Daphnia pulex: one gene and its partner. The protein of the gene in region 1 interacts with the protein of each later gene in a pairwise test. Links are inferred from orthologs where the notes say so. Each region holds a gene or a part of one and is shown on either strand. Other genes may lie near its edges.

Region 1 (4,388 bases):
CTGACCCCGAGTTCTTGGAGTGCTTGTAGTGCCTCTAGCGGATAAACTACTGCACTGCACCAAGGCTACGAAGGGTTTTGCAGACGAATATTGTTTTCCTTCTGTTTTGGTAAAATTCTTTGCCGTTGTTTAAAAGTCCTAGGTAATTTTTTCATAAAAATTTTTATTAAGAATTCATATTGTATTTAATTTTGACGTTTGCCAAGGCTACGGTCAAAATGAATGAAAATTACATCATAAACTCAACTTTTTACGCTGAATCGAAATATGCATTCAGAATCAGCATAATATGTACACACGTATGCGTAATCGACGGCCAAAGAATTTTTACTTCCGCGCGCGCTCTGCGGCTGGCGTTTTTACCCCTATTCGTACCTTATAAGCCAAAGAAAGTTGCTCAATTTTCAGTATGTTGTTGTCCTTCATATTGTCTATCTTTTCACTAATTAAAACTATTTTTGATTAGCTATTTACCACTAAATTTAAATAAAACCAGCTTCTTGGCGGCTAAAATTCCAAGAAAATCACCTTCAGCCTCATTTTCGGCAGATTTCCCTGACAAGAATTTATTAAATTTCAGACGAGATGTAAGCCCCTGACGATGCGGTCATTTATATGTAAAATTAACTCTTTTCTGTTGAGTTTTAAAATTTTTAATAATTTATGAAATTTTATACCCAGATTGTAATGCCAGAAAAAGTGTAGTTTTCGGCCTTGTAAGTACCTTTATATCGTAGGATCTTATTCAATTTTCAGTATGTTTAAGTAAATTAAATTCTCTATCTATTCATTAGCCGCTCTGGGTACCGTACCGTTTACGCGCTCACCCCCGCCTGAGCTCGCTCACCCCCGCTTGAGCTCGCTCACCCCCGCCAAAGCTAGCTCACTTCTGTTTTCATTTTTACCCTCATACTAAGTTTTTGTTGTAAAAGACAAATCAAATTAAATAACACAGAAAAATTGAAGGCGAGAACGAGGAAAACCTAGGTGGGGAAACCTTTTAATGGCTAGAGCTACTTACGAAAATACGGAAAAAAGACTAAAAGAGTCGTTTCGCAGTTTTACCTATTTTTTTAAGTAGCTATTTAGATCGCAGATGCAGGATGTCATCTTCGCCAAACACGAAGACAAAAAGTAACAATTTCAAAGCACTGTTGAAATTTAAAATGCAGCAGTGAGCTAGCTCAGGCGGGGGTGAGCGTTTTTATCAAAGCCTGGCCAAACGTCAAAACACGAGTTGCGGCCCTCCGCCGCTAGGAACGCTGGAAATAGGGTGCCGTGTACGCGCTCACCCCCGCCTGAGCTCGCTCACTGCAACCCGTGTTGCAACAACCGCCTGAAGGAATAATAAATTTTACAATGTTGGGCAGATGCAGACGAATTATGGGTTGATCGAAAAATAGAAAAGAAAAACATTGGTTAACAAGTTTTTGACTTTTTCTTTTTTTCACGGATTTGACTTTGAGCGAACTTTTCATTTACATTATAGTTATCATTTTCATTGACTAATTATTCTCGTTATTTATTAATAATAATATAGCATTGTATAACTTTATGCTGTTTCTCGCACCGAACTTTTGTGATTGTTAAAGTTAAAAACGATCTTGTATAATTTTTGATAGAAAATGGTGGCTACTACTGTTGTACGCAAAATGTGTTCATGTAGTATACGATTACTACCTTTATTGAGATCACATTCTTTGCTAAGAACGCCGATGCTATCGCGATTATTAATTCAAAGGTAAAGCGGTTTAAAAGATGATTTCTTTCTTCAATTCATGGATTTTCATGCATAGGCTACTTTACCGAATCCAAATATTTAATGATTTAACTTTCAGATAGTGTTTTTGTTAAATTTAACAAACATTACAAAATGTAATGTCTTAGTTTGTAAATTCATTAAAAGAGCATGAACTATATTTGTTTGCATTACATTAACTGTGTCTTTGTCTACAGATTGACATCATCATCACCTCAATTCAGCAAAACTGAAGCCCATAATGCTCAGTCTAGCAACTTACCTCATGCCAATATTGGCACCATTGGCCATGTAGATCATGGAAAGACAACACTGACTGCGGTATGGTATTATTATTTTTTTTTTATAAAAAAATATATACTTAAATCCTAATAACTGTTGACCATTAATACAAATAGGCTATCACCAAAGTCTTGCAGAAGGATGGGTTGGCCAAGTATGTGTCATACGATGCGATTGACAAAGCACCAGAAGAAAAGGCACGAGGCATTACAATCAACATCGCTCACGTGGAATATTCCACTAAAAATAGACACTACGCTCATACAGACTGTCCTGGCCATGCCGACTTTATCAAAAACATGATTTCTGGAACTTCCCAAATGGTATCAGAACCTTCGAAAAATCATGTATCTATATAATTATAGGATTCTGAGTATAGATTTCTTGAACAATAGGATGGAGCCATCGTGGTAGTTGCTGCGACAGACGGCCAGATGCCTCAAACTAGAGAGCACCTTTTACTTGCGAAACAGGGTAAAATCGATGTTTTGTATGGATTTAATTCAATAGAATTCCAAGAATTTCTGTTTCTTTTTTGTTTAGTTGGCGTGAAGCATCTAGTAGTGTTTATCAATAAAGCTGATATAGCTGACAGCGAAATGACCGAATTGGTGGAGATCGAAATGCGGGAATTAATTTCCGATTTCGGCTTCGACGGCATAGCAACTCCAGTAATTTGCGGCTCAGCTTTGTTGGCATTGAAAGGCGATGAGAGTAGAATGGGCGTCCCATCCATTAGGAGACTACTAGCAGCCATCGACGAATATGTTCCTACACCTCAAAGAGACGTCACATCACCGTTCTGGATGGCAATTGACAGCGCATTCACCGTACCTGGCCGAGGGACTGTGGTCACGGGAACTATAAAGAAGGGAACGCTGAAGAAAGGTGATGAAACCGAACTCTTGGGGCATAATTCAGCCATCAAAACAGTGGTGACGGACGTCCAGGTGTTTCGGAAGTCAGTGCCCTTTGCAGAAGCTGGTGAAAACGTTGGTCTCTTACTGCGCTCCATCAAACTGGATCGGGTCCAGCGAGGTATGATGCTGGTGGCCGCCCATAGTGCAACAATTGGCAATCGTTACCAAGCTCAGCTGTACCTGTTAACGCGAGGCGAAGGAGGCCGTAGCCGTCCGGTCATCTCAGGCTACATTCAACAAATCTTTAGTGCAACATGGAATTTAGCTGTGCGGGTGGATATGCCGAGTGACAAAGACATGCTTATGCCAGGAGATCACTCCGTCGTCAACCTCACCTTGCTCAAGCGAATGGCCGTCGAACCCGGACAAACTTTCACGATCAGAGAAAACAATTACAATGTTGCGACCGGCATCATCACCAAGAAATTGAGTGATGCCAATTTAGTTAAAGGAGATTCTCTGGACAAAATAACTGTGGTCGACTAATTGGTAATTCGATTTGAATTTCAGTTGTATGAATACAAATCTTTAGAAAATATATATTTTTTTTTTAACTTCTTTCCAGTCTTGGGTTATATAGTTCTTCGAGCAGGGATCGTCGCCTTTATTACGAGCCATGAATTATTTTTTTATAGTTCTTTGTGTTATCCGGTATAACCTAACCTTGCGTTATGTAATAGAATATCAAGATTTAATAATGAAAGTCAGGTATTTGTCTCCTTTGTGAACAGAATCAGTTCACTTTTTTCTTTAAAACTTATGTACGTCATCCATTCGCATGAGCATTGCTTCTGTTGTTCTTCCTTTTTAATTTTTTTTTTCATAGTTAGTTACTTTTATCTATAAATTATTTATTTTTTTTTGTTTTGAAAAGTACAACGACCCTGCTTCACTCGGCTACACTCAGCAAATCGGAGGGGAAGTTGATGCCTTAGGTTTGGATCCAACAATAATTTTTATTTATTTTGTCAATGGTAGGCTACCTTATTGTCAGTATTTTTCTTTGTTTACATTTTGCATCGTGTTTCTTTCATCTTATATTTCTTTTCGTTTTGAGGTCACAGAAATTTTTCCACAAGTTCAATCAAATCAAGTTGCGACATAGTTAGGTATGACAGCTATTGATGATTACATTAAAACATAGCCATTATGTAACGTTGCAGTGAATTACATTAATATTGCTTCAAAATAATATTGAAGGATTCATATTATACCTTTTCCAAATAACTGCCAATGCCGGATAAAAATTTGGATAATCAATGGGACTTTTTCCACCATTTTTTGTGCCTTTAATTTATTTTTATTGAGTTCTGAACAAACGACTTCTCAAAAACATTTGGCATGCATTGTTTGAATAAAAATGAGCATAAGTAGCATCCAGCTGAACGATGATTGACCAGTCATATTAACTAGTGAGCTCGTCCCCG
Region 2 (3,819 bases), on another chromosome or scaffold:
CGTCCATACTGTTTTTAGGTGGTGTTTTGGTTATTCGTGATTCGGAGTTTCGTGGGCGGAGTAGTTTAGCGTCACGTGGCGGCCAACTATAACCAGTAAACGGCTGCATCAGGGTCTCCAAAAAACGAGTTATTTTTTATCCTCTTTACCAAAATCTAAATGTCTAAAATCCAATGTTTTCTTGAAGTAAATTTATTTCGTCATTATGCACTTACTTTTAACACGCAGTCGGCGAGCGAATGTAAACTAAACCTCCTTTTCCGGAAGCGCAATTTGGGTTTCAATAAGGAAGGGCTGAAAAAAAAAATTAATGGAATTCAAGATAGTTCTAACTAAAAATTAACAAATAATTTAAAAAAAAATTCCAACGTAATTTTTTCTGGATTTTTAACTCATCCGGAGATATTTCAGTTTCAACAGAGATAGACCGACAAGCTTTGAGTGCTTTGAGGTCTTTTTATCAACCATTTCACGGTAATTAGACTACGTATATATTAAATAAAGGTTGCCCTTCCCGCTTCATGAATCCGAAGAGATCTTATTTATTCTTTATCAGATTAAAAACAAGTTTCGTTGATGGATGACGGCACATTCATGAAGTTGTATTCAAGACGTTTTCAACACTCGGTTGATGACCTTGTCCGCTAGGACACACCGTGATTGCCCGCCGGATAGGAAGAAGGATAAGAGCAATAGGGCATAGGGAAATTGTCGCCAGCATGGTTTTTAAACTCATAAAAAAAGAAAAATTGCGCAATTATTTAGAGAGAGAAAAAGGAATTACTACTAGATGATGAAAAAAGAATTGTATTTATTTATATCCTAACTAGCATGATTCACAGATTTTTAATCAAAATCCAGCTTCTTGGAAATAGTTTTTTTAAACTATGAAATTACTAAGAAGTGAACTAGAAGCAAATTTTGACTGAAATTGGTTTCATCTTATTCAAGGCTTTCACCACATTCGAAACGCAAAAAACCTTTGATATCCCATCCCACATGAGACATAACTTCCCGTACTGTGAATTCAGGATAAGCAAGAAATTCTTGATGATATAGAGCTGATTCTTCGTCACTTGATGATTTTTCTTTTTTTTCTTCGCTTGGTAATTTTTCCGTTTTTTCTTCGCTTGACGACTGTTCCGCTTTTTCATCACTGGGTGGTTTTTCTGCTAGCTCTTCTTCTGGCAATTTATTTACCTTTTCAATGGTTCGGGGATTCATTCCTTTGATCAGGGGAAGACAACGTTAAAGTTATTAAATTACAAATTCAAACTAACATATTATACCAATGATATGCTGACACAGTTGCTTAGGAAGCTTTTCTAAATCAATAATTTCAGACAATTCTGGTGTTTCAACCGAAGGAGGGCATTCTTCATAGGCAAAGACGGCTGCATATTTGCCTAGGAATGATTCACCCAACACCTGCTGTGGATGGGTACAAGATGAAAACCTATATTAAAGAAAAATGAACAATGAGGAGAGCTTCCACAGGAAAAGTAACACCGCCGATTACTTGATATTTGAACTGGTTGCGCAAAGAGCTGCAGCTCGACGCACAGCCATATTCTCACCAATGAGTCCAATATTAAGTGCCAACAAGTCAGAAAGTTTAGAATTTTTACTGTCATTCAATTGCAATGATCCCAACTGCTCAGAATCAAATCCTAATTTAACTAAACTTGATTCCTATAGGAAAATAGTTTTATTTTAACTGAATGTTTAAAGTTTTTGCTAAGAACAAATCTTACTTGAGTAGTGTCTAGTGCAGAAACTGTGGCTAATGACTTTTTGAAACAAGTTTCTGTAATTTGTGCTACAAGGGTTTGAAATTTCTCATTTTTTGAAACAAAATCTGTTTCACAGTTTACTTCCACCTAGAAAGAAAATCATGTTAATTGAATGATGAGTAAGAAATTTGTTATTTCTTACCATAACGGCACACTTTGTATCTAGTCTTATTCCTACAAGTCCGTTTGGAGTAGATCTACTCTGTAGTTTTGCTGCTTTTGCCCATCCTTGAGCTTGAGCTTGCGAATTAAGCCATGTTTCTGCCTTCATTAAATCATTTTAATAATTTGTCACTCTAATGAAAATTCCACTCACATACCTTTTCAATATCGTTGTTGTTCATTTCTAATGCTTTTTTACAATTTGTTATAGCATAACCGGTTTTTTTTCGCAATGTTGAGAGTAAAGATTGATTAGCTGTCATTACTTTGCTGGAGTGGAAAGAAACAATAGAAGTGTGGTGAAATAATCGGCGGAATAACATTTTATTTATGAGTTTAAAGTTCAAACTTAATATTGGTTTACACCGATTACACAATTAAACGGATGTCAGGACTGATTCTATTTGATTTGTCAAGCAAATTCGCCAAAACTTCGTCTGCTTCCCTGCTGCCTCATGGACTACTATCGACTGCATGTCGACTGTATCGATATCGATAGTATAGTCAAATTGTGCCCAAAAAGTGGGTATACCCCAAACAAATTATTACCTGAATTTTTGTTCGTGAGCACTGTGTGTACTATAAAAATGTAGTTATTTTTAAAATACTAGTTAAAACTATCGTGTAGAACATGTATAAATCGTGATTTGAAATGTTATTTCCCGTGTAAATATCCTTTCTTGTTGAAATAAACCATTTAAAAAAATATTAAATTTTAGAAAATCTTTCATTCTATAAGTACCCAACTTTTTGTGCAGTTATAACGATATTTAGTATTTAAAAAAAAATTAAACGTAAAACCCAATATTTTGGGTGCATCTCACAGTGACGGAATCGCACTAGTAAAGGTGGCCATAAATAACAGCTTTTTTTTTTTGCTCATAAATATATAGTGTTGAAAGTAAAGTGTTTCATTAGTAAAATATATCACTAATAATTTGATTGTTTAGTAACTCGAAAAAGTACCCATTAATAACTAGTTCTTTAAGTAAAATGTCTCATAAGAACGAAGTTCTTGTGGTTCTTGTATCATAAGAACTTCGTTGCATTGAAAAATTGTCTCACTAGTATTTCTGTTCACAAGTAACATCAGGTTAGGTTAGGTTAGGTTAGGTTAGGTTAGGTTAGGTTAGGTTAGGTTAGGTTAGGTTAGGTTTGGTTAGGTTAGGTTAGGTTATAAAATTGGTAATTCCCTAATCACAATCACGGCGAAGCCGTGAACATCATATTATTATCATCCACGGCGAAGCCGTGAACGTCAAGTTATTATCAATCACGGCGAAGCCGTGAACATAATTTTATTATTATCCACGGCGAAGCCGTGAAATTAAATTCGGTATCATCCACGGCGAAGCCGTGAAATTTACATTCGGGATCATCACGGCGAAGCCGTGAATATCATACTGGATCATAGGGGGTGTTACTGTTGATGCCTGTTACTAACGAGACGTTGTCGTTATACTACAAAATACTACTGTATCACTTTCCCTTTTCACACGAAATTTTGAAAAAGAATTATGAAACAATTTACTATTGACCATTTGTTGGTATGAAATAAATAAATTATTTAGAAAATTTTGATTTTCTTCCGAACGGTATTATTTGAGATACGTTTTACTAGTGATACACTGTAGCCATTTTCAATTTTACTTGTGATACAAATTACTATAGTACGATACTTAAGCGCCTTTTTACTACTGCGATTCCGTCATAGTGCTACGCACCGAATATTTTCCCCCGCGAAAAAGTGTTTCCGTATTTAACACAGCCGCTTATGGGAAAATGGTTTTTTTTTAAAACAGTATTTACATGACATCTTAGCACATAGAAATCCTTCCTTGGGTTCATTTTATAGCTAAAGAGT

Evidence for each region.
Region 2: the proteins of elongation factor Tu, mitochondrial-like (region 1) and elongation factor Ts, mitochondrial-like interact in a two-hybrid assay, tested with the Drosophila melanogaster proteins (2 studies listed by BioGRID). The link is inferred for Daphnia pulex from reciprocal best matches to the Drosophila melanogaster genes mEFTu2 and mEFTs.

The regions. Positions count from the first base shown.
Region 1 is NC_060026.1:7,179,683-7,184,070, reverse strand, and holds elongation factor Tu, mitochondrial-like, read left to right. Parts: upstream 1-1,332; 5' UTR 1,333-1,625; coding exon 1,626-1,741; intron 1,742-1,956; coding exon 1,957-2,080; intron 2,081-2,157; coding exon 2,158-2,364; intron 2,365-2,436; coding exon 2,437-2,515; intron 2,516-2,584; coding exon 2,585-3,447; 3' UTR 3,448-3,450; intron 3,451-3,526; exon of another isoform or gene 3,527-3,541; 3' UTR 3,542-3,664; downstream 3,665-4,388. Other genes in the region: uncharacterized protein LOC124204205, read right to left, coding at 4,288-4,388.
Region 2 is NC_060025.1:6,704,402-6,708,220, forward strand, and holds elongation factor Ts, mitochondrial-like, read right to left. Parts: upstream 2,423-3,819; 5' UTR 2,279-2,422; coding exon 2,114-2,278; intron 2,059-2,113; coding exon 1,936-2,058; intron 1,881-1,935; coding exon 1,755-1,880; intron 1,693-1,754; coding exon 1,520-1,692; intron 1,457-1,519; coding exon 1,290-1,456; intron 1,227-1,289; coding exon 943-1,226; 3' UTR 792-942; downstream 1-791. UniProt on the Drosophila melanogaster protein: Associates with the EF-Tu.GDP complex and induces the exchange of GDP to GTP. It remains bound to the aminoacyl-tRNA.EF-Tu.GTP complex up to the GTP hydrolysis stage on the ribosome.